2 linked regions of the Drosophila melanogaster genome follow. Changing the gene in region 2 together with the main gene of any one other region gives a genetic interaction. Each region holds a gene or a part of one and is shown on either strand. Other genes may lie near its edges.

Evidence for each region.
Region 1: of Mabi (region 2) and bcd, changing one suppresses a phenotype caused by changing the other (phenotypic suppression), as found in Drosophila melanogaster (one study listed by BioGRID).

What each region holds. Positions count from the first base shown.
Region 1 is NT_033777.3:6,750,678-6,769,097, reverse strand, and holds bcd (bicoid), read left to right. Parts: upstream 1-9,631; 5' UTR 9,632-9,826; coding exon 9,827-9,991; intron 9,992-10,528; exon of another isoform or gene 10,529-10,550; coding exon 10,551-10,626; intron 10,627-10,666; coding exon 10,667-11,625; intron 11,626-12,137; coding exon 12,138-12,422; 3' UTR 12,423-13,256; downstream 13,257-18,420. Other genes in the region: Ama (amalgam), read right to left, coding at 4,257-5,265, 6,102-6,118; zen (zerknullt), read left to right, coding at 14,950-15,036, 15,101-16,075. UniProt on the Drosophila melanogaster protein: Segment polarity transcription factor that provides positional cues for the development of head and thoracic segments.
Region 2 is NT_033779.5:13,228,360-13,243,987, forward strand, and holds Mabi (mabiki), read right to left. Parts: upstream 6,302-15,628; 5' UTR 6,237-6,301; coding exon 5,616-6,236; 3' UTR 5,439-5,615; downstream 1-5,438. Other genes in the region: CG16813 (uncharacterized protein), read left to right, coding at 1-48; CG16815 (uncharacterized protein), read left to right, coding at 1,547-2,125; Prosalpha6T (proteasome alpha6 subunit, Testis-specific), read left to right, coding at 3,749-4,618; Jhbp14 (juvenile hormone binding protein 14), read left to right, coding at 8,276-8,381, 9,961-10,341, 10,461-10,607, 10,670-10,824; Jhbp13 (juvenile hormone binding protein 13), read left to right, coding at 11,838-11,916, 11,977-12,351, 12,404-12,550, 13,145-13,296. UniProt on the Drosophila melanogaster protein: Plays a role in inducing apoptosis and is involved in the repair of head patterning defects in the embryo caused by extra maternal copies of the homeotic gene bicoid.

The sequences.
Region 1 (18,420 bases), on a different chromosome or scaffold from region 2:
GAAATATTAATTTGCTTGTGATAAACAATATAAATTCTAGAACCGACTCAATAACAAAACTCCCACTGTGACATCTATATTTTATTATCTGCGTACTGACTTTCATTCTGTCGCCATTGTAAATATTTGGCTTTAAGGCAGCGCGAGGCTAATTCGTTTTTATGCCCGGACCATGAAATATTTAAATTATTATTTATGGCACAGTTTTTCCCATTTGCATTTGCCATTTTCCATTTTCCACTCGTGCATCTCCGTCGCTTGCCGCATGTTAACGGATATTGGGGAAAATGGTTATGCATTCGTCCATAAATTGCGCGGGACTCATAAATCAAGCGCGCGAGTCTTCAATTAATGCCCCACTATTGCCAGCGATAATTCATTTACTAATTTATCTTTTGCAAACAGAGAGCGGCGTGCCAGCATTAATTACAATGCAATTACTTATGGCGCGCTCTGCGAACATGCTCATAATTATCTGATTGGGGGTGTGGCCCTCATTCATTTGCATCTTCTCCACCCATATTACAAGCTCTTTTTGAGAGCCCCATCATAATATGTAAATTTGTGCAGTAACCATCTTCAGATGGCAATAAAATGGATCTCGTTTGAACATGGCGCGCTACGGCAGACAAGCAGTTGTCGATGCAAGCAGTATGTGGTGAATTTCGTTTGCAAAACTGCTTGACCAGGGATCTTTTGATCGGTTGGAGGGAAATTAAGCAGCTGACGTTAATTAGATGAAATGCTTGTGCATTTTTGAAGCTCGAAACAATAAAATAAATATAATGTAAACTGGCTCATACAATTTTATATATTTTTCATTTCCAACAATTTGTCTTTTATTTTAATGAAAATATTGGAATGAAATATCAGTTCATTTATTTATTTACTAAGTTTGTTACAAACTTTATGTATTATTAAAATATAATACCATCTTGAATCATATAATTAATTTTATTACCATGAGTGGATTTTTATAAAAGACATATTTTGGAATATAGAGAAAATGTCAAAACATTATACGAATTTCTTTTGAGGGATCTGTAAGTATTTTAACATCTCGTCCTTGTGCTGATAACTCCCATAATTAAAAGGGATAGACGGAAATGGTAGGGAGACTCGGCTAGTGATTATCGTCGCGTGCATAATAGATGAAACTACTTTCGATACTGTTTAACACGTTCATCGAATCTAGAGATTCCCTTTACGGATATAAATATTTTAATTATGATAGGTCTGAAATTGTTTAGTGTCTAGGTATATAGTTCTGCTAGGGTGGAACTCAAAACGTGTGAAACCTGAGAATTCTAATCAAGTAACTAATCCGAAAGTTTGATAAATATTTAAAAGCTAAATGGACTTAACTTTAATGATTTACCGAGAAGGATTTTGATTATGCTACCAAGTGTGTAGGTAGCTTATATTAACAATTTAAAACATGAAGCAATAGTAGTTATTCATCAAAGTAAATGGTTTTTACAGATAAGCCAAGAACAGAATGGATCACATAACTCGTTCTTGGCAAATTACCAGATACATTTAAGGCTTGCATTTCTGGCGACATGCCAAATACACAGTTGCCAAAAAGCCTGTACTTGACAATGTAGTCGATATTCACTCAACTCAAACTAACTTTTTCATAAATGATTTGGAGTTCTTCTAATCCAAGTCAATGGCTGATCAAATTTTTTCAAATTAGCAAACATTTTATGATATTTTTCAAGCACTCCCCACTATAAACACAGTCTTAAAACACCAAAATCTTATTTCACTTCAGCAAACAATTTGGTGGCTTTGTCAAATCTTCAACGAGATACTCACCCAATCGAATTTCACGTGCCGCTGCCCGCGTTTTATTGCGATGACAGCTCCTTGAGTCACAGAGCCGAGCATCATCATCACCAGCCATCATCAACTCGTAAAACCAACACCACGGCCTTTGTTTACAACCGCGTTCGTCGTTGAGGATGTGGAAACAGTTGGAAAATGGGCGCTGGAGCCGCGGAATCTGGGCCACTGCATCCTGGCCAAAAGATCCCAGCCGAATGACCGTCCGTCTGTGGAGGCGGTTCGTTTTGGAATCCAGAGATTGTCGGCGGATTCTGATTCCAGGTTCCAGTAACAGCATCCAATAAAAGTGCAAGTCGGAAGCAGTGATGACATTCTTTTAGTTTTATTTGCTGAATATGTGTAGGTTCGTAAGTTTAAAAAGTTCGACAACATTTTTAATAAATGGTTTCTTTCTAACAAGGTTTTCTAATTATTTATTATTATATTATTATAATTATAATAATAATTATTATATATATTATAATAATATTATAATTATATTAGAATATATATATATGTATATATATATATATATATATATTATAATATATTTTATTTCGCTTATAACATTATATTTTATCAATATCTTTATAGTATTTTAAGGTCAGAGGATGCCGAAAAGCTTCTAGGATGTCATCACTGGTCCTAAGGTAACCATTTGACGGAACTGCGCAGGCGTTAACTCTGGCTTCACATCCGCCTCCATCAGGCTGGAATTCTCTGGTGGAGGTGGAACTGAAGTGGGCTCTCTTTGAAGCCTTTGTCGGGCTCCTTAGCCAGGCCTTACTGTTGCCATTTTCTGCGGCAGGGTGGCGGCAAGGAAAAACCCGATTTCCACCCCTAAACTGGCCAGAGTCTCACGTCTGGCGTTCCAATCGACTTTTGCCGACTCTCTCTCAGGGGAGGTTTTGGTCCGAAAATCAATAAAAGTCACGTCGACGTCCATGTTGCTCTGCTCCTGCCGCAGAGGCCTCAACCTCCGGCCCCGGCAGACAATGAAATGATGTCCTGGCCAAAGGACGACGGAATGGGAGGTCGGATGCGGGGCTGGGAGTTTCAGACGAGGACGCACGTGTTGTCCCTGGACTTCAGGCTCGAATGCGTGCGAGTAGCAGCAACAATACCAATTACAATAAAGACAGACATTTAGCCAGGATTCATTTCGAGGGGTGTCCGCAGGAAGGGAAGCCAGCAGGACATGTGAAAAAAGGAGCCAGGAGCGAGGATGAAAAATTTGCCAAATGTATTCCAGCAACGGGTTTCTAATGGAAACAATTAAGTCATTAGCAAGTGTTGATTTTAGTGAGCGATGAGCCGGGTTGGGGATTTAGTTAAACTAATGTGCTCCGGCCATAATGGAGTCCTTTGGGCACTCTGGACTGGATCCCCGCACAAGCTCCCGAATAGTTCATGTACCAGTGGCAGACCCAGCTCGTTGGACCGCCTTACAAATGCCTCGCATTTTTCTCAATTACAATGAACAACTTACATTCGGGTTCACTTTTCGCCACACAACCCACTCCGCATTTTGACCATGTGAGTGTTTACGTCAAGAGGTGAACAACTGACTGCCATTTTTTAACCATGATTGAAGAGTTAAACGCTGTGGCACTTTGAGCGGGCTCGGTTAACTTTTTGGCAAATGACTTCGGCAGCGTTAACCGTTGGAATACCAGCTCAGAATGGAGGTTACATGCTGTTTTTGGTGTCAAGGTGGGACCTTGCGGACTCAGATGGCAGCTTTAAGGAAGAAGATCTTGAAAGATCTGTTATTTAGGGTTTGGAAAGTGGCATCCAAAAAAGTTAATGGATTTTTAAAAGATTTGGATGTTCTAGCCATCATTCTAACGAAACTGTGGCTTTTAAAGTGTAAAGTTTGAATTGTTTATTGTTATAAATTAATAAGATCCATGGAGCATTGGGTGTTGTTTAGAAGTGATTAATTTTTCATTTATATCTGCACTTACCATATATTTTTAGATTCCCTCTCGATAAAACAATGAAATACTTTTGACAATGCCTTGTCTCCTGGCTTAGTTTTATTGAATGACAAACCCTTTAATTCGTTGCTTCAAGAGGTGTTTATTCTCTCATGGTATTTAACTTACACCGTATACAAGCCAACCCAACCACATAGGAAAAGACCGATTAAACTTTATCAGAGAACGTTATTTACTTAAGCATATTAATGTGTGTTTGCACAAGCCGACGGATGCAGAGCAAAATTCATAAGGCACAAGCGGTGGCTCGATCTCAAGTGTGTCCGAAAATAATGAAGTCTGAATGGGAGCTAATTGAATGAATCATTAATAATATAAACACAGACCGCATCCGGACTGGCGAATTGCCGAAAAAGCGAGACGAGAGGAGAAAGTGAGGGTTCCAGTCTTGTTGCGTGGGAATGGAAATCAGACGTTGAGGGCTTATTACGACAAGGAGGGCACTGGGATGACGGTCTGGAAGAGATGCAGTCGCGCATCGGCGTGTCCCAGCTTATTGGTGGCATTGCAGTAGTAGTCCCCAAAGTCCTCCTCGCCCACGCTATCGATGCGCAGCACAGAGGTTGTGGTTCCCGAGGAGGAGGCGGTGTTGGCCACCTCGTGGTGCCGGCTAGACTGCAGGGGCACGCCATTCTTGTGCCAAACTACAGTCGGAGCCGGGTAGCCCTGCACGGAGCACTCCAGCTCCGCGGAATGGGACACCATTTGGGCGATCTTGGGCCTCTGGACGGCAATCTGCGGACGGAACTCCACTTCGACCCGGATCAACCTCTTGTCCGGCTGGCCCTCTCCGTTCTGCGCGATGCAGTAGTAGCCGCCGCGATCCATCCGGTGCACGGAACGAATCCGGAGAGTTGGTTCGGCCAGCAAATGGCCACCGGCAGGCATCACTGCATTATGCTCGCGGGCCCAGGAGATCGTAGGCTTGGGAAAGCCATTGGCATGGCAGGTCAGCTCCAGATTCTGTCCCTCTGTCACCAGGGTGCTCTTGGGGGTGTTCTCCGCAATCACCGGCGGGGTCTTGATCTGCAGGCTCAGCTTCTTGGTCACCTTCTCCGTGGCCGAAACAAGCACCTGACACTCGTACGGACCCATGTCACTGACTTCGATGTTCTGAATGCGGAAGGTGTAAATGGCACTTCCGGTCTTGGGTCCTTCGGTGACCGTTACGTTGTACCGCTGGTCGGGCAGACTGAGGATATTCCGCATGGAGAGCACCACCGAGTTGGTGTCCGACTCGCTGGGACGCTTGGCCCAGCTCACCGAGAGCTGTCCCACCTCCTCCACGGTGCAGTTGAACTCCACAGAGTCGCCCACACTGGCCACCACGTCCTTGCTGATCTGGCTGATCACTGGGGCACTAAGCACCGAATCCAAGCTGATCGCAAGGCAGAATATAAGACCGATTAGAAGCCGCAGACGCGCCATGTCTGGTCTGTAAGAAATCAAAATAGATTTGAGATTTATTAGTGTATCACTTTATGTTGAGTCTTTTGATCGCGTTAGCCATTCTAAATATTTCGTATGTAATGGAGAACTGCCATTTTTAACCCATCTTCGAATTCAATATAATAAACTAAAACTAGGTTCAATTATAGAATAATAATTTAAAGGTCACAAGTATATCTTTAAAAGTATCTTTCAAAAGTAAATAAGAAGGAAAGAATTCTGCACACACACTCGTTTTGAAACATTTATAAGGCTTGTACACACTTTTCAGCTTTATCGTCTTATTTTAATATAATTCATACATTTCTGTTTATTTACAGGATGTTGCTGTTGATTTTGTGACTCTTTTTCCTCGACTATCTCTCAGTTCAATGTGGGTTCAATGCGCTTCACTTCGCGTTCGGGACTCGACTGAATTGAAAGAGGCGACCGAGCTCGGCTCAAAAATCCGTATCTCTGCTGAGGTTCTGAGAATCGGGTTCTTATTTTTGTATTCTTCCTGACGCGCCGACGTCGATGGCTCGGTTTCTCAAGGAAAGTCCCGAAATTTGTACACCGCGAGAATGAAGCAGATAGACACCATTATGATTGATTACCGCGGCTGTGTCTAGACAACGTTGCTTCTTAATGGATACACTGGTAAAAACGGAGATAACTTAGTTTTCCGATATATCAATACTTATTTTTTTTTTTAATGAATAGCCAGGTAAACGAAATCAATTTGATTTAAAATTAATTTTTTTGTAGTTAAGGATGTGAAAAAAGATTTTAAATGGCAGTGTTTAGTAAATAGTTTAAAATTTAGTAAAAAAAATAGTTTACCTTTTATTATATTGCATATTTTTTAATAATTAGTAACAGCTTTTTTCAGTGTATTTGCCGATGAAGAAGTCATCGACGTTTTGGATCTTATCACCCCTCGGTTATGTACATTGTCGCCTTCACAGTATTTGTATCTGTGTTTGTTCAGTATCTCTATCTGTATTTTGTATCTGTGTTTGCATTTTAGTTCGTATTTAAATTGTTTACTTGTGCGTGAGTTTGACTTCGGGCTCAGTTATCAATGCACTTTCCTTCTGGTCTTTAATTGATTTGTTTTGCTGCTCGCTGCTGTTGTTTATGCCTCTGCCTGTGGCCCTCCTGCCCCGCCCACTTGACAGCCCCCGCCCCAAGATAAGCGGTCAGTTGCAAAAACAAAGCGCCAGCGAAAGCGGCCGCAGGCGAACTGAGAGACCGCGTGCGAAATTCAAATTCAAATTCGTGCCGCCATTTGGCCATAAACGTTTCGGGGTTCGTGGAAGGACAATAAAAGGAGCAGCGGCGGGGTGGGAAAGTTGGAACTCTACCCATTTGTGTGATTTATGGCATGGCGCACTACTTTCCGCTGGCGGCTAACAACAACAGCAACGATTACGAGCGGTCCCTGGAATATCCTAGCCGCTCTGGAAATGCCAGCGATCCCAGCGCCGTCTCATTAGTGCTGTCTCTTTTGCGCCGGAGCAGGGGCGCATGCGCGAAAAGGCAAAAACAACGGGGTGGTGTACAAGGCATTGGGTGGAACTTGAATCGAGTCCTGGTTCAGCCATGCTGGGAAATTCTGAAGGATATTTAAAGAGCAGTATTCGGGAAATTTGGGTACCTTTAACTTGGCTGTTCGTAGAAATTTCTTTACACGGCTGAAGGTTAATATGTGTACTCACAGCATACGAGGATAGGAAACGTCGAAATATAACATAGTCTATATTGATTATATTTGTGTATATATATTGATGTGTTTAATATGTGTCTGGATCTCGATCAATTAGTTCCTATGGCAGATGATTTAAGGATTAAATGTGGTCAAAGGCCGTTTGATGTGCAAAATTTCACTTGTTGTATAAGCACCGAACCATTCGAAAACTTTCTGCTGCCCAAACGCATTTAATTTTCATATTTCCAGCCTGATTCCTGATCAGCCCCGGGCCAAGTTTCCCCCTAAAACCCATCGAGGTTAACCCGGCTTTACTCTGCGAGATGATTGATGACGACGCTGTCTGTCTGGCGAAGAAATTCCCCCGAAGAGCGACGAAACTATGGCCACAGTTTCTGGAAAATTAAATCACATCTTAAATCGTTTCGGTGACTTCTGCTGAAATGAGGCCGTTCCCATGGGAGGACAACTGCATCTGTCGTCCGAACTTGGACCCCCGCACTCTCACTCGTACTGCCCATCTGCCGGAATCCTCGTCGCTGAGTGCACATTCGAATCAGATAATTGTAAATTGTGTAAAATAATAAATTTCCAGTTAACTATCAACGGACCGCATAGGGCGCTTCTATTCCGTCCCTTTCTCGCTGCCCACTGACGGCTCTCCTTGTCCTCAGCTGCATCCCGGCAGCGTCATTATGACCATTGCGGCGATGCCTCTTGGATGCAGGTTCAGGTCCTGGTCCAGGTCCTGGCAGGTCCGGCTGCTTCATGCAACGCTCGACTTGGCCCGACCGAACTGGACACACACCGAAACCGAACGAAAGAGACGGCTAGACGGCGTGCGACAGAGAGGGCTGCCGCTCGCATTCAGGCGCAAGCGGATCCAAAACAGAAAATGTCAAATTTTGTAATTTATTACCCGAATCCTGTTTCTGTCAGTGACTCTTTGGGTGTTTCGCTTCAGCAGCGGCACACACGGGGGCATTCAGCATTCAGGGTCGCCGAGCGGGGAAGGGAGAAGTCCTTTGTCACACACTGCGTCTGAATTTGTGGCCCAGTTCCGCACAGTGGTATCTAGCAGATACTTTTTGTAATATTTGTAAGAATGCACAGAACTTCGTTACATTCAGAGATTTCTAGTTTCTAGTCAGATGACTAAATACAATATTATGTGTCAAAGTAATTAATTTTGTTTTTGAATAAATTTCTAAAATATCAGCTTGCCTTTAACGTAAATATAGCCTTTTCTACCTATCTTTATCTGATATAAAAAAGTAGCATTTGAAATGCTGTTGTTGCAATGGTATCGAATTGGTATTAAAGCTCTGGCCCTGTTTAATTTGTATTTGTAGTCAGAGCAACCACTGTACCTTTGTGTGTATCCTTGGGCTTTGCCTATGCGAACGTATTTTGTTTGCCTTTTGGCTGCACTCCGACTCCGTCGACTGGAGTGTCTGTGAATTGACTTTTGTTGCCAGTTGGCAGCGGCAGAAGCAGCAAAGCCCGGCCAACAGCAACAAGCTCCTGCCAGATCCCAAAAGCAAACACGACAATTATTTGGCAAATGTCATTAAAAAATATTTCACTTAAGGCCTTGCGACACTTGCTTAAAGGTCAACTGGCTCGTTGGGTGTGTTTTAAAATGTTAAAGCTTGGGCCAATGCACTGAGCAACTTAATGCTTGTAGATATTTACACAATATTCTTCAACGCTAAACATATCGAATTTTCCAAATATGGAGCCTGAAAATAATAATTGCCAATCCTAGCTTAACATCAGAAATGAGTAGAACAACTTAAAAAAAATTAACAAAAGAATCGAACGCTACAGCTAATTAACTCGACAACTGGTTACCTTTTATTCTTCTAATACATTTTATAATGCACTGCCTAACAGGTACATATAGCAAGCACTATATGCTGTCTTACAAAACGATTATATGATATTTTCTTTCGTACGTAGCCGTTTGAGATCATTTGGAAAAACAAACTCGATCTCCACCATCCTTATTCTTTGTCCCAAGTCCTTATATATCTCGCGATACTAAGATTGAATAATGTAGTTATTAATAGCGGAAGTATGTAACAGAATAAACTACAAAGTGCACATTTTGTTCAATTCAGGCTGGACTGGACTGGAGCATATTAATATTATAATATTAACAAAAATTCAAATTAAACATTCGACACTTGTCTAATTGATTCCTAAATTTGGGGTGCCTGTTTGTTAATTAAATGTTAATATTATGAAGTTCCAAACAGAGCAAAGAGTTTAAGTTTAATTGGTTCTACTTATTTGTTACAATATTCAAGCTTTTTTTTATTATTATTCTCAAATGCAAATCTCTACAAATAAATAAACCTCCGACGTTTTAGAACATTCACCTTTTGTCAGTGAGCACAACCTTTCAATACAGCCCGACAGGGGGCTCTCTACTGCTGTCTCTTCACGCCCCCTGGTGAAAACGCTGTGCACTCAATCGGTTTGCAGCTTTGCCGTACTGTTCGATTAAAAACTTTTAAATTAGAGGCAAACATTTAAAAATAAAATGTCCAAATATTTGTCTAAAATGTATTGTAGACGCTTATTGATTTTTAAATTACTCAAAAGAATGAACATCGAGGGAGGGCCGCCAATTGTGCCATCTCTACATCTCTTCGCTCATCCCTAAATAACGGCACTCTGCAGATGCGAAGCAGTGGATCGCAAAAACGCAAAATGTGGGCGAAATAAGTTCGCGAGCGTCTCGAAAGTAACCGGTTACTGAAAATACAAGAAAGTTTCCACACTCCTTTGCCATTTTTCCGCGCGGCGCTTGGAAATTCGTAAAGATAACGCGGCGGAGTGTTTGGGGAAAATGGCGCAACCGCCGCCAGATCAAAACTTTTACCATCATCCGCTGCCCCACACGCACACACATCCGCATCCGCACTCCCATCCGCATCCGCACTCGCATCCGCACCCACATCACCAACATCCGCAGCTTCAGTTGCCGCCACAATTCCGAAATCCCTTCGATTTGGTGAGTTCCCATCGCAGCAGAGAAGGGCTCTTGTCCCAGGAAAGCTACAGTACAGATTCCCTATGGTGAACAAACAACCAGTGCGATCACTGATGACCATAAACATTTATTGAGCCGCAGCAAATGTGTTTCTAGAACATAGGGCGAAATCTTCTATTATCTTGTTTGTGACTTTTAAAGTATCGTAGCAGAATCTAAAAACCAATTGATATTATTAATCGTTACAGTTAGTATAGTATATAATTGTATATGAATTGTGGGGCATCATGTTATTAGTGATTTGCCGAAATGTTCTAAAAGGTGTTTCATTGAAATGGACGAATGTTAAACCTGTTGCACTCACACCGACAATCAGTAATGTCTATTTTTCAAAAGCCACATCTATGGCCACTGGGTATACATTATTGACTTTATACACTTCATACAACATATTTTCTAAAACAAGCATTGTTGTCCTGCATGATGATTAGTGAAAGTAATATTGCAAGATTCGGTCCCCGAAGCGAATCGTCCTTTCACGTTTTTATATAAAGACAGTGTACCCCTTGATTCTTTGAAGCTTTTCGATGAGCGAACGGGAGCGATAAACTACAACTACATACGTCCGTATCTGCCCAACCAGATGCCCAAGCCAGGTGAGCTCAAAGCCAACAAAGTCAGCCATCGTCTTATCAGATGTCTTTCCCTCAGAGGAGCTGCCCGACTCTCTGGTGATGCGGCGACCACGTCGCACCCGCACCACTTTTACCAGCTCTCAAATAGCAGAGCTGGAGCAGCACTTTCTGCAGGGACGATACCTCACAGCCCCCCGACTTGCGGATCTGTCAGCGAAACTAGCCCTGGGCACAGCCCAGGTGAAGATATGGTTTAAGAACCGTCGGCGTCGTCACAAGATCCAATCGGATCAGCACAAGGACCAGTCCTACGAGGGGATGCCTCTCTCGCCGGGTATGAAACAGAGCGATGGCGATCCCCCCAGCTTGCAGACTCTTAGCTTGGGTGGAGGAGCCACGCCCAACGCTTTGACTCCGTCACCCACGCCCTCAACGCCCACTGCACACATGACGGAGCACTACAGCGAGTCATTCAACGCCTACTACAACTACAATGGAGGCCACAATCACGCCCAGGCCAATCGTCACATGCACATGCAGTATCCTTCCGGAGGGGGGCCAGGACCTGGGTCGACCAATGTCAATGGCGGCCAGTTCTTCCAGCAGCAGCAGGTCCATAATCACCAGCAGCAACTGCACCACCAGGGCAACCACGTGCCGCACCAGATGCAGCAGCAGCAACAGCAGGCTCAGCAGCAGCAATACCATCACTTTGACTTCCAGCAAAAGCAAGCCAGCGCCTGTCGCGTCCTGGTCAAGGACGAACCGGAGGCCGACTACAACTTCAACAGCTCGTACTACATGCGATCGGGAATGTCTGGCGCCACTGCATCGGCATCCGCTGTGGCCCGAGGCGCTGCCTCGCCGGGCTCCGAGGTCTACGAGCCATTAACACCCAAGAATGACGAAAGTCCGAGTCTGTGTGGCATCGGCATCGGCGGACCTTGCGCCATCGCCGTTGGCGAGACGGAGGCGGCCGACGACATGGACGACGGAACGAGCAAGAAGACGACGCTACAGGTCAGGCATGAGTCCACAACCTTTTTTGATCTCTTGATTCTGAGTGTGGCGTTTATAAATTGAAGCTTTAAGCTTTGTAACTTTCAAACTGTCTGGTTTGAGATGTTATTCTGAAAGTACTTCTATTTCCGATCGATGAGATTTGGGAGTTCTCCAATATTTAACATTTAACTTATTAAGTTTTTGTTTTCTAAATTAGACATGGCATTTCTGAAAGGGAAGTACAAGTGTTAAAGATGTATTTTAATATAGAATTTGTATCAAAGGTTAAGATTTCAACCGTTTGAAAGCCCTTAGTTTTCAGGGTTTTTTACTTTTTTATTCATGTAATCACTCTTAATACACTGCAAGTTAAAATAGCATTTCTTTGACCAGAAAAATAAGATCTATGCATTTTAAAAGTGAAAACAGACTCATATGCTGATGAACATTTTTAGCTATAAATTGTAACAATAATTTAGCAATTTCAATCGAATTTATTTATGTTCTAAATGCGTTCGCTCTCTCCCTAGATCTTGGAGCCTTTGAAGGGTCTGGACAAGAGCTGCGACGATGGCAGTAGCGACGACATGAGCACCGGAATAAGAGCCTTAGCAGGAACCGGAAATCGTGGAGCGGCATTTGCCAAATTTGGCAAGCCTTCGCCCCCACAAGGCCCTCAGCCGCCCCTCGGAATGGGGGGCGTGGCCATGGGCGAATCGAACCAATATCAATGCACGATGGATACGATAATGCAAGCGTATAATCCCCATCGGAACGCCGCGGGCAACTCGCAGTTTGCCTACTGCTTCAATTAGCCTGGATGAGAGGCGTGTTAGAGAGTTTCATTAGCTTTAGGTTAACCACTGTTGTTCCTGATTGTACAAATACCAAGTGATTGTAGATATCTACGCGTAGAAAGTTAGGTCTAGTCCTAAGATCCGTGTAAATGGTTCCCAGGGAAGTTTTATGTACTAGCCTAGTCAGCAGGCCGCACGGATTCCAGTGCATATCTTAGTGATACTCCAGTTAACTCTATACTTTCCCTGCAATACGCTATTCGCCTTAGATGTATCTGGGTGGCTGCTCCACTAAAGCCCGGGAATATGCAACCAGTTACATTTGAGGCCATTTGGGCTTAAGCGTATTCCATGGAAAGTTATCGTCCCACATTTCGGAAATTATATTCCGAGCCAGCAAGAAAATCTTCTCTGTTACAATTTGACATAGCTAAAAACTGTACTAATCAAAATGAAAAATGTTTCTCTTGGGCGTAATCTCATACAATGATTACCCTTAAAGATCGAACATTTAAACAATAATATTTGATATGATATTTTCAATTTCTATGCTATGCCAAAGTGTCTGACATAATCAAACATTTGCGCATTCTTTGACCAAGAATAGTCAGCAAATTGTATTTTCAATCAATGCAGACCATTTGTTTCAGATTCGGAGATTTTTTGCTGCCAAACGGAATAACTATCATAGCTCACATTCTATTTACATCACTAAGAAGAGCATTGCAATCTGTTAGGCCTCAAGTTTAATTTTAAAATGCTGCACCTTTGATGTTGTCTCTTTAAGCTTTGTATTTTTAATTACGAAAATATATAAGAACTACTCTACTCGGGTAAATTGTGACTAACTACACATAACTACATACTTAGCCCATATTTCCGTCCCTTTCTAGAATGAACGAAAACAGTATCTGGTTTTCCCGAAAATCTTATGAATTTAAAAATGCACTTTATTGCACATACTCACACATGCCTGCCATAAAATATGATTCGCGATTTTTCCGCGAACACCCGCGGATCATAAAACATTTGCACCAGCTGCCTGTGTTTATTCACCTACCTGAAACCCATACTCTTATCGCCTGATCCTCGCGCGGTCGCACTATTTAGGTAGACACTGTACAGGCAGCACTCGCGGGGCGCCGCCAGGCAACTTGTTGCCCCTATTTTCTTTGATATAAGTTTTGGGAAATCCAGAAGTCCAATAACGGGGCCTATATGAACGAATATTGATTGGGTTTCTCCCAGTTATAGAGTTTTTATTGATCTTGGGCGCGTTTTAGTAGGTGGATTATGGATGTCCTGGGAAAACCAAGCTCTGAATCCATTCTTACTTATCACAAGACTTGTTTTCCTGTGCCCTTCATCACACCTAGTTTAACTACTATAATTAATAAACTACTTTTTAATCCGCCATTTATGAAGATAATTTATAGCATCTATGCATCTTTCAAATATCGCGAGATATCGCAAAGTATTCATAAATTAGTTTTTTATTGATATTGTAAAGCTTTTTAATTTGGTTCAGGTTTTTATTGTAAATACTTTTCACAATTGTGCACAGTGACCCATTAACATGGTTGCGATATTAACTTAAGACTTAAACAAGTTAATTAAGAGTTTTAGCACTTCTTTTCAAAAGATCATGTTTTAATTATGTTTTTAAATGAATCTTTTCGACAATTCTAAAAATATTATTTCGAAAATGTTAATTTTCATATATAACCTAAGTAAAGATATTTTCAACTGTACCTCACTCTCGCCGCGACATTTCCACACGGTTATCCTGTTATGACTTTTCCTTTGTTCCAACGTATTTTTAGCGAATTCTCGGAAGGAGAAAATCCGATAGCGCCAGTAATAAAATTTGCGAACAATTCCCTAGTTCGAGGACTGAGGATGGGAAGGCCTATGGACCGGAGACCCGAGACAGATTCGCATTCGCCGCGTCGGAGACTTGAGCATATACTCCTTGGAAACAAGCAGAGCCATAAACTGTCCAAATCGAGCATGAAACCCCGAGGAGCATCCTTTCTCACAGCGCTGCTTTCATTGCATTATGAGGATAATTGCGGACGGCGAGCGACCAAAAGCCGCGACAACAGCTTCGGTTTCACTTTCAGCGCCGCCACCGGAGGCTCTTTCAACAGGTGCTACAAGTTGGACAACAATCGCCTCGGATCTCCGATCATCATCAGCCCGTCTACCTGGCGAGACTCCGGCTCTTGCGGCCCAGGAACCCTGGAACTGTCTCTCACGCAACGCCAGATCCTGGCAGGATTTCGATCAAAACAAGCCTCTAGATTGCCCATTGCCAATGGCCGGGAGTCGTCGGACTTGGCTAGTCTCCGAGGTGCCAGTCGGGCAGTCCAGCGACGAAGGGATTTACGACTCGCGGCTTAGGCAAATTTTTTCGCAACGATGCGTCGGCGGAATTGACCTGTTATGTCGTCTACCTACAAGCCCTCCTATATAAGCATGATGTTTGCTTAGGACGACAGATCATTCCACTTTTGACAGCTCACTCGGCAGTACCAGAAAAAATATGTCATCCGTCATGCACTACTATCCAGTTCACCAGGCTAAAGTCGGCTCCTATTCAGCAGATCCTTCCGAGGTTAAATACAGTGATGTGAGTACTCAGATCAAAAATCGAATATCAGCAATAAACTAATTAGTTGTTTACCCGCTTTCAGTTGATCTATGGTCATCATCACGATGTTAACCCCATCGGTCTGCCTCCCAACTACAATCAGATGAACTCCAACCCCACCACCCTCAACGATCACTGCTCCCCGCAGCATGTGCATCAGCAGCATGTGTCATCGGACGAGAATCTGCCATCTCAGCCCAACCACGACTCGCAGAGGGTGAAGCTTAAGCGATCACGGACTGCCTTCACCAGTGTCCAACTGGTGGAACTTGAGAACGAGTTCAAGAGCAACATGTACTTGTACAGGACGCGCAGGATTGAGATTGCTCAGCGCTTGTCCCTGTGCGAACGCCAGGTGAAGATCTGGTTCCAGAACCGACGAATGAAGTTCAAGAAGGACATACAAGGTCACCGCGAGCCCAAGTCCAACGCCAAGTTGGCTCAACCCCAGGCTGAGCAGAGTGCCCACCGAGGCATAGTGAAGCGCCTCATGTCCTACTCCCAGGATCCCAGGGAGGGCACAGCGGCAGCAGAAAAGCGTCCTATGATGGCAGTGGCTCCTGTGAATCCAAAGCCAGACTATCAAGCCAGCCAGAAAATGAAGACCGAAGCATCAACCAACAACGGCATGTGCTCCAGCGCCGACCTCAGCGAGATCTTGGAGCATCTGGCTCAAACTACAGCTGCACCACAGGTCAGCACTGCCACATCTAGCACAGGAACATCTACCAACTCGGCTTCTAGCTCCTCTTCGGGCCACTATTCCTACAACGTGGATTTGGTTCTGCAGAGCATCAAGCAGGATTTGGAGGCAGCGGCCCAGGCTTGGTCCAAGTCTAAATCCGCGCCTATCCTGGCCACTCAATCCTGGCATCCCAGTTCCCAAAGTCAGGTCCCCACGAGCGTGCATGCGGCTCCCTCGATGAATCTGTCGTGGGGCGAGCCTGCTGCCAAGTCGAGAAAGCTGAGCGTTAATCACATGAACCCGTGCGTAACCTCCTACAATTATCCCAACTAATTTTGAGTTAAAAAAGTTATACTAAGTTTTACTATAAATTTTTGTTGGAGCTAAGCAACCGTCTCTGGCCCTTGGACGAAAAATTCTAACCGAACTCAGTGACAAAAGCCATGAATATTCTTAAATTATCGTGAAGTTTAACCATTTTTTTAATAGATATATTAAAATATGCCTCTGTATTGCAACCATAGTTAATAAACTAAAATTCAAATAATACAAAATGATATTTTCTTCACTTTAAAATAATTATTCGATCGATTTCTTAAATGACTCCTTGTTGCTTGCTGTACAACTTTTATAAAACTTTGCTTTAGTTACAATCCATTTAGTATCCTTAAGACCACTCCAATCCAAAGTGGACACTTGGCTTCTGAAAAGGAGAAACCAAGGAAAGAAAGGAGAGGAGAGGAGAGGGGTTAATTTTTAGCATTTAGCTAGTGTCCCAGTTGTCTTCGGTTTCACTTTTGCATTTAATGTCCCATTGCGGGCGACTTGAGGTCAAGTCGAGGAATTTCCATTGCATCGCCCATCTATTAGGGCCCAGAAAAGTGTCAACCGCATTAACTCGGACAGGTCCAGCCCCTTCCCCTTCTCCATTCCCATTCCCAATCCGGATTCGGATCCGGATCCAGGTTCAGTTTCAGTTACAGCGGGTTCCGTTGGTCATCTTGAGCGGCGGACATGGAGTGTTAGGATTTGATTTATGGACATTTAACCGCACACATTACTTGCTACTGGCTGCGGCGGCTGTCCAGCGTCTTGCAGCGCGGAAATGCGGCACTCAGCCTCAGCTCCAAGGAATTTCCACCAGCCCATCCATCCCTTTGGTCCTTGGTGCGGGCCCTTAGGTGTGGTGTGGTATGGTGTGGAGTGCTGTGTGTGTGTGGCAAATTGCTTCCCCTGGGAGGAAATTGTCGCTCGCACTTGCCACGGCCAAAGGACTCACAGGACGTGCACTTCGAAAAATAATAGTGCAGTGAGAGCTATTTACAAATATTGACATAATAACGAACATTTATAATTGTCCAAAATGTATATTTTGCTATACAATTGAACTAGAACTAAACTTGTATTATTAAGTATCATTTCAATTCATTAGTTGGGTCACTTTTTAGGAATTACACATTTTCTTATGAGAAGTTTAAATTACTTTTATTTCGGAGCTGACGCGGAACACATTTGATGACATGATTGGGTCCATCCTAGAATAATAAATAAATTTTTAAAGTGTACCCATGTGGAAGTCAGTGGCCAAAGGGGAGGACCTTGCACAGGGTGTGAATCCTTGGAATTTTCATGCGCGTCGTTGACATTTCCTGACATGTGGTCCGGTTCGCCTCGGTTCTGGCCTGGTTCTGGTTTTGGTTTGGTTTTGACTCGACCTGCCCTCGCCGGGAGCATGTCCTACACATGTTTGGGTGCTGCCATAATGAATATAGATACCGCATTGGAGGAGCGTGGGCGTGGCTAATCGCCCGGCAATCAGAGGCAGCTAATCAAACTCGCATAAAAAGCGAACAGCAGGAACAAGTAAACAACTCCACGCGGCCAGCTTCAATTACGCGAAATGCCAATGTAATAAACATGTCCGACAGCACAGCGCAGATTGTTCCCATTGCTCGAGTGGCCAATTCCTGAGCTCAATCACTCGCTCAGCAGCGGCAACATTGCGGTTTTATTAGCCGGAATAGCGAATTGGCAGCCGGAGCCCTTGGCCCGGAGGCGGGAATCCGGAGCCTTGATGACAACGACATGGCCGCAGTCGCGGCCTGGTCATAACAATAAATTCAGCGGCCGCAACGGAGGCTGGGCGAAAAGCATTTCAAATTGTTTCTTGTTAATTAAATTAAATATTCACTTCACACTCCCCGATGCCCAACCGCAGCGTTTTGTAATTAGATTGAATCTATAATTTTTATGGCTAATCGCCTCTCGAAAGCGCTTGGCTCTCAAGCAAGCTCATCCCACTCTTCAGCAATGAGTTTTGGATTCGCGACCAGGACGCGAAACCCAAGTGCTTGGACTCCTTGCGACAGCCGAGCGAAATGTATTTTGTGTGCAAATGAAATGTCCTCGCTGAGGAATTTCTGCGGTGAAAGTTAATTAAGCGGGTAAAATAAGTTTAATGCATCGTTTTGAGGTCTAAATCGAAAAGTTTTAACTTACATTTTTTGAGTTAGTCTCAAAAATTTTTTAAATTTATTTGCCTATGAACATTTTTGCTTTCGAAATTCATTTAAACCCAGTACAGCATCATTTGTAAATAATAAAAACCCACCAAAAGGCTACCCATTCGCATTTGACTCATCCTTTTCGGCAATCCTCAGCCCAACGGTTTTAGCTCC
Region 2 (15,628 bases):
CCAAGGCACATGATGCCGCGCCAACAGACCACCACCCAGCATCCTTGAAGGGTGGACATGGTGCAACGACTGGGCGCTGCTCAATGCGCCCTAACTTATTGTAGAAAAGCTGAATAGTGATTGTGATTACTTTTAAAGTTTAATTTATTTATCTGGTTGACTAAACAATAAACACACTAATTGTTATCGAAATAACTTGTAATTTTTATAGAATTTTGTAATAATTGGTTTTTAGTTGGTTTCTGATTGATTGAAATCTAACTCGGGGTCTTATTTATTGAATCTTATTTGGAAGTCTGATATTTCTTTTCCGCCGTTTAACATCATGAGGATTTGTTCTAGACCAAAACTGACCGGAAGCATCAGCTCATAAGAGTTACCTCACTTGGTTTTTCTGCCATTATATAACATTAAATACATCTTATGTAATTAATTTCTTGGAAGCGCAATTTGCAATGCTAATTAAGGTGTGAAGTAATTCTAGTGATTCACATAGCCAGACTACAGTGAGAATTGAATCGATTCGGCACGAGTGACATATTGTGGGAAACACGGAATAAAATTGTAATTTATTTCAGTTGGATTTAATTATTTAATTTATAAACAAATCAGCATAGCGAACGAACAAAGTGCTTGCAAAATAATTAAAACACGGTGACAATAAGATCCGCCTTTATATTTAAATAATCATCAATGAAATCATCATATTGTTGTCCGCGATTAAAAATTGCGCAGATAAATAAATCTTAATATACTAAATTATTTACACGAATAGTGTTTTACTAATTCATTTATATATATGATATATGCCGTATACATGTTTGTACGAAGTTTATTTAACTCTTTAAATATTTTTAAAGGCGTGTTTTACTACCTAAACTAATAAATGGATTAAATATATTTAATTCACCTCTCAAGACTTCCATGAATGCAATTCCTTCTCCGTAAACTGAAATCGCATCTGTCAGCAGTCTTTAAAAATCCTTGACACTTTTTTCTAACCACCGACCAGGACATATAATGCCATGTCATTCTAGAGGAAAAGTGTTCGGCAAAGGACCCTCGAGAATTTCCAGGGAATTAAAACAAAGTGTGCTGAGGAACCAGGAGCCAAAGGGACCACACACGGTGCCACAACAAATTGTGTCATGCAGGTCAATAAAAAAATGCATCGCCTGCATAACAGTTGTTCGGTCCAGAACTTTCCTGTTCCGGTGGCCACATTTGTCCGATAATCCAGGTAATCCACACACCAAAAAAAGGATAATGAGGCAATCCTGCGACGACAATTAGCGCTGTGATAGAGCAGGTCATAAAATATGCTGCTTAATCCAGGACGGAGATTACCTAATGCGGAATGGATGCGCTAATCCCTTTGTTGACAGACCCAAAACAAAGGGATTTCCCTATGTGGCTACCTGTACCGCCTACCTACTGTGCTTATAACCAGGATATCAATCTCGAAGCCAATCATTCAGCAAGCGATCGTCCAACGAGTCACATCATCACCACAACTCATTCGGAGTCATATTATCGAAATACAAAAATGGAGAACTCATCGAGCTACACCCACAAGAAGTTTGCCGTCAGCAAGCGGAAACGGGAAGTGGACCATGACAAGGAGAACCAAACTCAGCAGTCGGAACAGCCGATCTTCAAGCGCCGTCAGACACAGGGATTCTTCCGACCTTGGTTGGATAATGAGCAGAACCAACAGGCGGAGAAGGAGACGTCAACGGCGGCGAAACCCAGTGGCCCAGGATCCTCGGTCAGCCAGTACCGTGCCAACATGGTGCGCCGCAGTAACACCAATCGTCAGCGAAGCCCCAAGGAGCAGATGCGCCGCGATAGAAACACGCTGGCTTGCCTACTCAGCCGGCGGGCCAAGCAGGCACAGGAGGAGCAAGTGGGTCAGCAGTACGAGCAGTATCGGAGTCATCATGCCGCCATGCTGGAACAGCAGGTGCGCCTCAGTCTATACTACCGCCACATCCTCCAACAGGCGGTGTTCCAGCGTGCCATAAATCCGGCACCGGGTCACATCCTGCCGCAGCAGCAACAACAGTTCCTCCAGCAGATGGCCCTCTCCCAGCAGATGCTCATCTTTGGTGGCCAGCACTGCTGACCGTCCAAAATCATATCATAATCAGCGACTATGGATAGCCCAATCATGTGATTTAGTTTATTAAGCCTTAATTATTAATATTTATTGTTGACTTTGAAATAAATCAAAAGTTATGCATTTAATTTAAATTGCCGGTTTTGTTAACTGGGGGTTATCACTTGGAAAATTCGAAATTTAATCTAAAATGATTGTTAAATTTGTTAGGAGGTCAGTGGATCGCAACCATTACATTTTTTTACATATGTATAATAATGCTATATATATTAGGATTTTAAACATCTTTAAGTTAACCCACCGGCTTGAAAAATAGTAAAATTATATAAAATGATTAAGAGATCAATTATCATTTCTAATTTAATTACAACCTAATCGTGATCATAATATATAAAATTTATGGTATAATTTTTAGCTCAATAAAACTAAAAGTACTGCTATCAAAAGTAGATTATCTATTATTTGATATGACTTTTGGTAAAAAAGGGCTCAATCAAGGGCTCAAAAACCACTTACTCCAGTGACTTGTCTGACCACTGGAGTAAGTGAGTCATCGAAGCATTGACAGATTTTTCCGAGAAACCATTTACCCAGAGTGCCATTACCCAGCAAAGTTCAACTAATTGTTGTCTAGCTAATTTTCATGGCGTTCTCATTTCGTGGCGGCTTTCGTCAAGGTTCAAACCCGCCACAAAGAACCACATTTTGGACTGGGCCAAGCTTTTTGGCATCGCCTTCAACGCGGTGGATTGTTGGCTAATGATATTGACAGAGATCGGATGTGGCGATATGGAGATATAGACAAAGTCCAAGCAAAGCTTCAAGTTCAATTGGCCAGTGAGACGGAGTTTTGCAAGCACACACAGCTCGAAGCGCAGAAATGCAATTTTCAATGTTAGGCCAGTTGGAAAAAAAGAAGAAAAAAGCCAAAAACAAAAAAACCAAATGCAGCCACAAAAAAAAAAACTCAACAATTAACTGAAATTGATGTTTGGCTGCATGGTACAAGTGCAAAGTGGTTTACTGGGTTGTTGGAGTTGCGACGGAAATTTGCGCCATAGGAAGTCGGACTGCCACAAGTACTATCAATGAAAATTAAAAGTAATTAACTGCTCGCGCACAGCGATTGCGCAATCGCCAAAAGAGTTAATTATGTTATGTGCAGGGGGCTTCCCCGGCAGCATGAATACTTCGACTAAATCATAGCTCCTATTTTTCACTCACAGCCCGATGCAGTTGGCTGCATATGAGGCGGGTGCACTCAGTGACGAACATCAGCCTATGTTTTTTCCATCGGATCACCCGAACTTCCTCATAGACCGTTGATTTTCTACATGGTTAGGCATTATGCAAGTTAGCTGGAGTGAAAGCAAAGTTAGGATTGCAATTGGCTTTTCTCTTGGTATGCATCGAAACCCTTTCTTTGTGACCTCATTCTATGAAATTAGTTAGAATTGGCCATTACAAATTGATTAATTAACAATTACACGAGTAAATATTTTAAGAAATTCTATGAATAAGCAAACCCTTGAAATTAATATCAGTTTTCAATTACTTTCAACTCAAGCTAGACAAATTTGCAACTAACAAGCTAACGTTATTTCGCTGAATTCATTCACACTTTTGGCCATGTTCCGGAATCAGTATGACAACGACACAACCACTTGGAGTCCGCAGGGTCGTCTCTTCCAGGTGGAGTACGCAATGGAGGCGGTGAAACAGGGAGCAGCCACCGTGGGACTCAAGGGCACCGACTATGCCGTGCTGGCCGCCCTGTGCCGCACCTCAAAGGACACGAACACGCTCCAGCGGAAGATCATGCCGGTGGATGACCACGTGGGTATGTCTATCGCAGGACTAACGGCAGATGCCCGCGTGGTGTGCCAGTACATGAGGACGGAGTGCATGGCATATCGGCACTCCTATAACGCAGAATTTCCGGTTCGCCGTTTGGTTTCCAATCTGGGTAACAAGCTGCAGACCACCACCCAGCGCTATGATCGTCGTCCCTACGGTGTGGGCTTGCTGGTGGCTGGATACGATGAGCAGGGACCACATATCTACCAGGTGATGCCCACGGCCAATGTGCTCAACTGCAAGGCAATGGCCATTGGATCTCGTTCGCAGAGTGCTCGCACATATCTGGAGCGAAATATGGAGAGTTTCGAGGACTGCGACATGGATGAACTGATATGTCATGCCATTCAGGCCATTCGAGGATCGTTGGGTTCCGATGATGTCGAGAATCTCACCATAAATGTGGCCATTGTGGGCAAGGATGTGCCGTTTAAAATGTTTACGGAAGCCGAGAACCAGAAGTATGTGAAATTGGTCAAGGCTATGGATCCACCTCTGGAGGCGGACCACGATCCTCTATCCGAGGAGGGAATGAGCGATGATGACATGACGGACCACGGACCGAGTAGCAGTGGAGTTCCACCCAATGATACATCTGACATGGAAACCACTGCATCCACCGGCGGCAGTGACGCACATTGATCTAATCTGTGATTAGAAACCCTGACAGAGTATACTAAATTTATTGTTTCGTTAATAATGTTATTAAAGTTTATAGTTATTATGTTGTATGGCTGCTTCGTTTTTGTCAAAGAAAAAAACAAGAAACGGTTAGCAAGGAAATTGAATTCTGAATTAGTTTTAATAGCATGTATAGCATATATATTCATCTTATGGAACCTAATCGGATTAAAATAATGGAAACACTATAGCACTTGCCATTCCTATTAATACGTTGAAATTTTCCACAGGGATTAGGGGTTATGCAAATGAAAGCCTTTAGCGTGACCAATTCGATTACAATGTATTTGAAAATATCGTAGCTACTAATAGCTAAAGTGTTTAGTTTAACTTTAAGTGCGACAATGACAGCTGAGCGATGGACGGGAATAGGAGTAGTTATTATTTAAGCCCACATTCCCGTAGCTGCGGTTTCAATCGGTTTACGGCTCTATTGCCAGTGGTTTGACCAGGGTGCAGGGTTAATACCCAGTGAACTTTATCCGACTGGCTTGATATTCTCCATGGGGGGAGGCAATAGTCGATGGGGTCACCAATAACGATTTGCTCCAGGGGCTGATGATTGCCTGTGACACCACGCGAACTACCCCTGGGGATTAATTGGGATTTATTTCGATGGCTCCACGCTTTATTATATTTTATTAAATTTATTTATATATATTTTTAATATATTCATTGCTTCATTAGCGCTTGATTACTTTTTCTGCCAATGTCATAAATTAATATTTATACCATTTTTAGAAGGAAGATTAAAAGTCAAGCACACGATAAAAAATCAATTAGCCGTAAAAATTAAATCCTCATATTTTATTTATTAAGAAGTTCCTGCTTAACCTTTTAAGGCATTTATACTAAATATATACTAAATTTCTTAGCACTAAAAGTTCTTGAAGAAACTTAACAACTTAGCATTAATATAATAACTATATAATACAATCCTAAAAGGAGATGGACGTATCTAAGCATGCTCCTGTTTAATACCACCTATCAGGTAGTCGATGCTAAAGTTACTCTTGGTATTCTCCTCCGGAACTCTCCTTGAGGATACTAGCGGGTGGTCTTCCTGCTTGACCAGCTGCTTCAGATGATTCAAATAGACCCTGGCACGCAGACTCTGTTCGGCGATCTTGAGGTGCTCATCGGAGCACTCCTTGTACTGCTGTTCGATCTGCAGGTCATCGAACTTCTTCTTCCGTCGACTCATCCTGCAGGCAATTGTGTTCTTGTTGCGGCGCTCCTGATCCTTCGGTGAACGCTCCTTCTTCGGGAATTTTCGCACCATATTGACGTGGTACTTGAAGATGTCTTGGATGGCCTCGGTTATGATGGGGCTGGCGGATTGGTAGGAAACGCTTGAGGATGAGGATCCCAAACGACGACGCTTTGGCAGTGGAGGAAAGTCAGCATCCTGATCACTGAAACCCAAGCTGACGGACTGATTTGCCGCATCGAAAGGACTCCGACTGGTGCAGGGTGTGCCGCTCCGGGAGATTAGCTCTTCCTTCAGCTGCAAATCGCATTTCTCAATCTTTCGACCCATGTCGAACTTTTTGTGGCGATAGATCTGATGGTGCTCCATTGTATGGTATGATATGCTATGGTTATGCTATGTGTGTTCTACTCGAAGACTCTCGATTGAATGCTGTCCTGTGGATTGGTACACTAGCTTATATGGCGAAAGCCTTATCTGCCGCTCTTCGTAATCCCCCCACAACTTTTATAACTTTGTTTACACAAATCGACGACGAATTTTCTTTTTGCAAAACGAAAACAAGATCATAAACCCGCTCGATTTGCCTGCGCACGCGTACATGCCACCCAATCCCATACCCAAACCCAAACCCAAAACCCAACCCATCCCACTTACCTACTTGTAAGCCCACCCGTTGGGCATCCCTATCTACTGGTCATGTTTATTCTTGCGTGCGTTCAGCTGGGATCTTTTGAATTTCAGATACAATACAATCCGAGTTTTTCCGGATCAGTAGGTGGCGAAATGCGCGCCCATCGATTGTCTGGGTTCATTCAATTCGTGTTTGTTCCTCTTTCAAATCTATTATCTGCTGTGTTTTTCAATGTCGCCGCCTTTTGTAAAAGTCATATATATATATACATATATGGATTTTGGGCTACTCTTGTTCAATTGGCCTCTATTCGAAAAGTGTTTTGCGGCCTCATTTGTCCAACTCCCTTTGTATCCTGCTGTTGATAAGGTGTGTGTGGCACTGATCTTTTGTTTTCCGTTTGTTTCCCTTTTTTTAGATATCACTTCTTGGAACTCGGAGTGCCATTTCTGGGTTTGCAGTTTAATGCCGAAGATGACGATAAGATGACGTCTATTTGGGGTTGCAAAAGGGCACATTCCTGTAGACAGTCTGCGTCTGCTGATAACGTGCGTTTATCTCTTTTGTGCCAGGTCACTTGATAAATCGTTGTAAACTCAGCGCATCTTAAAACGATCCTAAAAAAAAAAGTATTCGAAAATTGGCCTGCGTAAAATAACCTACTTATTTGTTTGTTAAGAACTGAGGTTTTCCGAATTAGTATAAAGATTTGTTGTACGCGTATGACTCATTTCCAACCTTTTAAGCTTTGACAAAATCGACGTACGTTGCCTACTAGACACACGTGACTAAATAATCACTAATCAAGCACTTTAAAAATTGCCGTAAGGTGCAAAAAGCAGAATTAGCATTAGAGCTGTTAGCACGGCCACGCTTGACACCAATTGTTTGATTTATACTTTCATTACTACTTACTAGTAGAAACAGAAATAGGCAGTAAAAGGTTCTGCCTTTTCATTTTGAGGGTATACACAGATGTATATTTTACTAGGCCACAAAATTGCAGTAAGTTAAATAAAGCCTCAGTTAAATGCATTAGCATTAGCATGGAAGTACAGGAAGAATAGTTTCAAGCTCTAAAAATTGAAACAGTGATCTTAAGCCCAAGTCCCCGAGACATTTAATAAGGTGGTACGTTTTAATTAGCCGCCTGGGACCAAGATCTCCAGCACCATCTCCATCACCAAGTCGAGGAAGCATCCAAAGCGAGTCGGATCACTTGGGACAGCTGCCGGTAGTTGGTAGGCGGTTATGTGATGAGTATGTCGGGTCGCACTGGGGTCGCGATAAGTCAAATCGGATGGCTGGGTGGCTTCCACTTCACGACTTTACGGGGGAATTTAATAATGTCGTTTGTATTTCGCTACTGTCTACTGTCTACTGTCTATTGACTTTTGCATTTGCTTTGTTTTCTACAGCTGCGACGGCGATTAGTTTCAAGCTATTTTTGTTATCCACCCACCACCCACCGCCCACCGCTCCGCCCACAAATCCCTATTATTTGCTAATGCCGAGCATCTGTGTTTGTGCCTTTTTTTATTTTTTTTATTTTACGTTTGTCTTTGCAATTTCGATTTGATTGGATTTGTTTTGTTTTCTTCCCATAAATAAGAGCCCGCCACCCATCGCAGCTCTCAGACGTTGATTCGCATTTGCATCGGTCAGGTTGGGCTATCCAACGGATGTGGAATAACTTCACCTAACGAGGAAGTCAATTAAAAAAAACATCATTCAATCTAAACGTATCAAATTAAATATTAAACAATCTATCGAAATGGGTCGTATCTTTGGCGTAGTTGCTCTAATTCTGATGGCCGGCTTATGTTTGGCAGCGGAAATAGAATTGCCACCAGTTGAGTTCAAGCCGGTTCGAGAAATACGTGAGTGTCATTATACATATGTGAAAAATCAAACCCTATATTAAAATTAAGAAATAAGAACAACAGAAACAATTCTTGGGAAGTGCAAACTTAGTGCATTTAAACAAAATAAATGTTAAAGCAAAATAGAATATTAATACATTTATTCTAAAATCTTATTTTAAAAATACAATTTCTTTGGATACTGCAAAAATTGCGGAGATTGGCTTTGTCGTTTTTAATATTAATTTGATACGGCCATTTAAAATTAAAAGGTAATCTCTAAATTTCTATAAAAAATTTATAATTTCAAGCGTTGTTTCAAACAATTTTAAAAAGTACAAATTGTTAATGCGACACTTTAGTATACTCTGACGATAGCAAGTCGTTCAATTTGTGATATTATCAGTTAAATAGAAAATTCGAACATACAAAATTGACTTCGTGATAGCAATAATCATGTGAAGCACGCAACTTTGTGTGAATTTTATAACAAAGCAATTCAACCGTCTGACAGTCAAAGTTTAAGCCCAGATTAACTTAAAACAATAGAATTGCACAACATTAGATACATTGCAATATATTGCATACCATTAACGAAAATCCTCTTATATTTTATTGATAATAAAGTATTTAATATATTGGCTGAACTTTTTAGGGATTTTTAATTGTTCATGAAGCCCGTTTTGTAAAACTCAACATGTAAATGAGATAGATAAGATTGAAATTTGTATTCTTCACATCGCAACAGAATAATAAACAGAAGTTTATATAGAAAAGAATTTGCTAAAAAACATACTTGAAAAATTATTATTTATAATTAAATATAATATTTAAAAACATATACACCTAAGTAAATATAAATTATGTCAAAGTAAAACGTGATGTCCTTGAGCTTTAATTCACTATTAAGACACTATGTTACAAATTCAATTATAATTATCTAAATATAGTTCTTTGGCATACGCAGACAGACCATGACAAACACAAAATGTAGATTGTCATGTTCATATATATATAAAGGTATTGTCTTCAAACAGTTTTGGCCAAAAATAAACACACAGTCATTTAAATTACCTCATTGTCCAGGCCACAATTGCAAATGTTTTTTTATACGATATTCGCCGACCGAGTCACTTGCTGTTGTAGATATAAATATAGCTTTTTTATGGTAGAAGTTAAAAATATATGACAAGTTCGCCGCTTAAGTCTTTTTTTGCCGGACATGTCACTTCCGCCGGTAAGGTAGACTTCTCCCAAGGTAGACCAATAGGAAAATTGCCGAGACGAACTTGAGACAACGAGCAGAACGAAACTCTTAAATGATATGCATGAATTTTCGCTCAACTCACTGACAAAATCAAATCTAATCAACAAATTAATTGCGCATGACGTTGACAATTATGTGAGCGACGAAACGTTTAAGCCAAAGTCGAACTGAAAATTCTCGGCTAGAAAACTGTCACGTTCTGATCATAGGCACATCGATCGTACGCGATATGGCTAACGTGTTTTATGCTGTACTAAATATGTCAAGGTTCCCATGCTCACCAATTTAATTTTTGTTTTTTTTTTTTTTGCTTGGCTCGGCATTCGGCAGCTGGGGATATTCCGACCTGCCGGGAGGGTGACATCAACATCAGCGAGTGCATCAAGCAGGGCCTCCAGCAGATAACGCCACGCATGAAGTACGGCATCAGCGAGCTGAACATTCCGCCACTCGATCCCTTCGAGATGGGAAAGAGCTCCTATAGCTACACCTCCGGCCTGCTCCAGGGACGGATTTCCATGAAGAACGTTGTGATCCACGGCCTCAGCGAGGGCATCGTGGACAAGGTCAACTTCCGGCTGAAGGATGGACGCGTGCGCATGGAGATCCTTTCGCATGTGCCACAAATGTTCGTCGAGGGCTTGTACAAGGCGGACATCAAGCTCAACGATCTCAAGCTGAATCCCAAGGGCGCCTTCAACATTACCATGAGTAAGTAACGCAGCAGAACACATGTAACTGCATGTTAAGTATTATTAGGTCACATAACAGTTTGCTATTAATATTATTATATTATTCAATGTTTTTGCTTCGCTTTTTTTCTTCTGCAGCTGATGTCGCGATGAGGGCGAGACCCATTGGCGAGCTCTACGAGCGTGATGGTCACACCTATCTGCGCCTGACCAAACTGGAGACTGAGCCCAAGGTGGGTGACCTGAAATTCTACGCCAATGGACTAGTTCCCGATCCGGTGCTGAGTACGTAATAGCCAATCAGTACTTACTTATAGTACTTACTAAACTGCTTTGTTTTCGTTCAGACGATGTCATCTTGGACTTTATCAATCAGTACTGGCGCCAGCTTTACCAGGCCATGCTTCCCGAGACATTGGACACCTGGCAGCCGCTGATCCTGAAGTCCACCAATGACTTCTTTGCTGCACTACCGTTCGATATGCTTGTTACCAAGAATTGAGATACCTAACTTTAATATTGTTTTACTATTTATACCTTCCGGATTCATCTGTTCTACTCAAGGTGTTAACATAGTTTGTACCGAAATAAAGATACAATTACCTAAATATAAAATATTTAGAAAATATTCTTATCTATGTTTGCCAGTTTATGTAGAATGTGTATTTTCTAGAGTGAAAGGTTGCACTTACACTAAACAATCAGTCATGAGTCAATTTACAAGTCAAGAGCAATTAAATAGGGCTTGAGTGGCAGATTGAAAAAGTGGGGCTATAATGGTCACATAAAAGGTAATAAATTGAAATTTTTTATTGGTTTATTGGTAGTTAGGAATCGAACCGAATGGATGGAAAACTATTGGATCGAATAATGGAAGTCACTTAGTAACTATCCTATAAGCAATAACTTAAGACACTAATGGTTTTATGCAACCCGATTGAATTGTACTTAATTGTATAACTTTTCACAGGGCGTTCAATGGCATATACAAGCTTAAAGCTTCTCAGAATATAATAGATCTAATTTTACTTTCTAGCTATACTATATATTGTGAAGTTCATAGTACAACTAACTTTAAATATGACTCACTTAATGACGAGACTTCTTTAAGCTCAATTTGCCGGCCCTACAATGTCACCATTGAATAGCCAAAATCGGTAGACCATTATTAATATACGTACTTTGTAATTAATATAAGAATTAATGACGAATCATTGTTGCCATTTGCTGTAGTACCTTCAATATATTTTTCCATTTAATAATACGACATTATAAATCAGGCAGACCGAGCCGGTTTGGCATTCAGTCAAAGTCTAGCTGTTTGCCGGCTAATGTTTCTGATTTACAAGTAAAATATACTAAGCTAGATTCTAACTTGCATTGTGTCGCAGTGTGCTAATTTGGAGAATAAAATAGCTCGACTTGCAGTCTGGAAGCTTCAGTTGTAGTTTAACGTTCTAGCAGTAGGTTGAAAGTCGAATTCGAGTCCCAAAAAGGATATAGTTTAGTAGTAGAATGTATTGTACTATTGGATTGCTCAGCCTGCTGGCCTTGGGATGCAGTGCAGCTCCCACGGATAAAAACTACTTTGCTGGTAGGTATATCATATATTCGTTTTTGTTTTCTCTTTATATAACATTTTCCCACATTGAAGATTTGCCAAAATGCTCGACTGAAGAGGATCAGCTGGGTGAGTGCGTGAAGCAGCTGTTTAACACATTGACTCCGCGCCTCAAGGACGGTAATCCAGAGTTGAGAATCGAGCCCTACGAACCTTTGCACCTCAACCGAACCAGCTTCCAATACTCTAGTGGCACTGTCAATGGTCGCATCACCGTTCGCAATGCCAAGATTTATGGCTTCTCCTCCAATCGGGCCAAAGAGGTGTCCGTCAAACTCAATGGCGACAAGGTGAAACTCCGTCTGGTCACCCAAATGCCCAAGTTGAACATTGTGGGCAGCTATAAGGCCGACATGCAGGTGAATCAGCTGCAACTGAAGCCCAAGGGTGAATTCAACGTAACGCTCTGTAAGTAAGTTAGTTTGCCTCTTTCGGTGATCACTTATCATTCCGGTTGCAGTGGATGTGGAGGCCATAACGGTGACCGATGGTGAGGTCTACGAGAAGGATGGTCATCGGTTTTTCCGCCTCAAGAATATCGACTCAAAGCCAAAGATCAAGGACTTGGTTATCAAGGCAAACGGAATATTTGCAGATCCTGAACTGGGTGAGTTCAAAGCTGTTGTTTAAGGCAAACTAGTGAATTTGTTGCACTATGAAGAACGATGCCTGCTTTTTGAAAATTATGTTAAATATTTTTATTTAAATTATGCATTTACTCAAATACGGTGGTTGCACATTGGTTGTTAAAAAATTCTAATTTTAAAGTACTTTAGAACATGTTGAATAGCACTAAAAACGATTGCCTTATTGCTTCCTCGTGTTTACATAAATATTTAATTACTTTAAATACGTAATCACTTTGCATTAGTTGTTTGTATTACGTCAATACAAGTATCAATTGATTCCGCAGTAATAAAATTACCGTTCATTTAACTATAATATATATTAAAAGATTTACGAAGCAATAATTAAACTGTAAAAGTTACATACCAAACATTTTTTGCAAGTTGCCATGTTTGATGTATTATATTTAAATTAGATAACTTCATTTTAACTTAACTTGACACATATAAACAGGTGCAGTAGAGAAAATTGGTATTAAGTCAAATCCATTAAACTAAAGGCAAACCAGTTTATATGAAGTGTTTTCTGTGTACTTAATGCACATTCTAACGCTTGTGATTATTTTTCGTTACAGATAAAATCGCTCTGAATGTGGCTAATCAGTATTGGCGCGATATTTACGGAATAATGTTGCCTGAGACTCGACAGTTTTGGCAACCCCTTATGTTGCGAATGTTCAACGAGGCATTCGAACTAGTTCCCATCGACCAGTTTCTCAAGGAGTAGCTCAATTTGCGGTTGGATTTAATAGAATGATGATGGTTAAATAGAAAATAAATTTTTCCATTAGGTGCTATTAAATGGTAATATTTTTTTTAATTAAAAAACATTTATTCTAGGCGCCAGTTTGAATTGCCCATTTTGAGTCACACCAATTAAGCCGTCAGGTTTTATGGAATTTTTCATGCCCTAGTTGAGCGCAGCGCAAGTTTTACACTTTTTTTTACCGCTGTGTGACCCAATGATAATCGCGTTAATAGGTTAAGTGCGCACCCCGACAATTGACCTTCGACCTTGACTTCAATTACGGAGTGCAAGTGCAGTTGAGCAACACCCGAAACTATCTTTGAACTTGAACTTAGTAGGCCATATGCCCTCATGCATAGATTTCGCAGTGTATCATGGTATACCAGACCACCTAGCAACTATAACACAAAGCTGGGACTTGGATTCTGATCACTTGCCTCTTATCATTAGCATTGAGACAGACAGTACTCATGTCAATCCAAGTCCCAGGCTAGTCACCAAACACACTGACCTCCTTGCCTTTAGCCGACAATTGGAGAGCCTTATTTCGCTGAACACCACGCTTAATTCTGGTGAGGAAATTGAAATGGCTGTTGACAACCTAACTGAAAGCATACATAGGGCTGCGGCTGTCTCTACTTCTCCCGTCCCTCGGATAGGCACCACATATGGGATAGTCTTGACAAGAGAGGCTAGAGAGCTTCTGACACAGAAAAGAAGACTCCGAAGGCGAGCAATCCGATCTCAAGACCCCTGGGACCGACTTTTATGGAACCGTGCTGCATAGCAATTACGAAACGTCCTCAGAGAACTTCGAAGCAACTTTTTTGAGCAGAAACTAGCTAGTATGGACTACACAGTGGATGCTGGATACTCGCTATGGAAATGCACCAAGTCCCTTAAAAGACAGCCGTTTAGACAGGTTCCTATAAGGTGTCCGGGAGGCGAACTTGCTAAAAATGAAGAGGAGCAGGCTAATTGTTTTGCAAATCATCTGGAGACAAGGTTCACCCACTTCCAATTCGCTACAACGGAGCAGTATCAAGAGACGCTTGATAGCCTAGAGACACCTCTGCAAATGTCACTACCCATTAAGCCCATCAGGGTTGAGGAAATTGTCGAAGCTATCAAATCTCTTCCGTTAAAGAAGTCTCCTGGCATCGACAACGTTTGCAATGCCACACTAAAAGCACTACCTGTTCGAGCAATTCTCTACTTGGCGCTGATATATAATGCCATACTCAGGGTGCAGTTTTTCCCAAAGCAGTGGAAAATGGCAGCAATCCTAATGATACATAAGCCTGGTAAACCTGAAGAGAGCCCTGAATCGTACCGACCCATAAGTCTTTTATCTTCGCTATCCAAGCTATGGGAACGACTGATTGCCAACAGATTAAATGACATTATGACCGCGCGTCGTATCCTGCCGGATCATCAGTTTGGCTTTCGTCAGGGACACAGTACTGTGGAGCAGGTACACAGACTGACAAAACATATCCTTCAGGCCTTTGATGATAAGGAATACTGCAATGCTGTTTTCATTGACATGCAACAGGCATTCGATAGGGTCTGGCATGACGGCCTTATCAGCAAAGTTAAAAAGTTATTCCCAGCACCATACTATGGAGTCCTAAAATCATACTTGGAAGATCGGAGATTCATGGTCAGGGTCAGAAACTCCTACTCGATTCCCCGCGTTATGAGAGCTGGAGTTCCGCAGGGCAGCGTACTGGGACCGTTGCTCTACTCAGTATTTACTGCAGATCTGCCCTGCCCAAACGCCTATCATATGGCAGATCCCAGGAAGGCCCTTCTTGCTACGTACGCTGACGATATTGCCCTGCTGTACAGCTCTAATTGTTGCAACGAGGCAGCAAGGGGTCTCCAAGAGTACCTCACCACTCTGGCTGCATGGTGCAAAAGATGGAATTTAAAGGTCAATCCGCAAAAGACCATCAATCCCTGCTTCACCTTGAAGACCTTAAGTCCCGTCACCGCACCCATAGAGCTGGAAGGTGTAATCCTAGATCAACCTTCACAGGCTAAGTACCTCGGGATTACCCTTGATAAACGGTTGACTTTCGGCCCGCACCTGAAAGCTACGACTCGGAGATGTTATCAAAGGATGCAACAACTTCGATGGCTGTTAAACAGAAAAAGCACCATGACACTGAGAGCCAAAAGAGCAGTCTACGTCCACTGCGTAGCCCCGATCTGGCTGTACGGAATACAGATCTGGGGTATCGCAGCAAAATCCAACTACAACCGCATTCAGGTATTGCAAAATCGTGCCATGCGTGCAATTACAGAC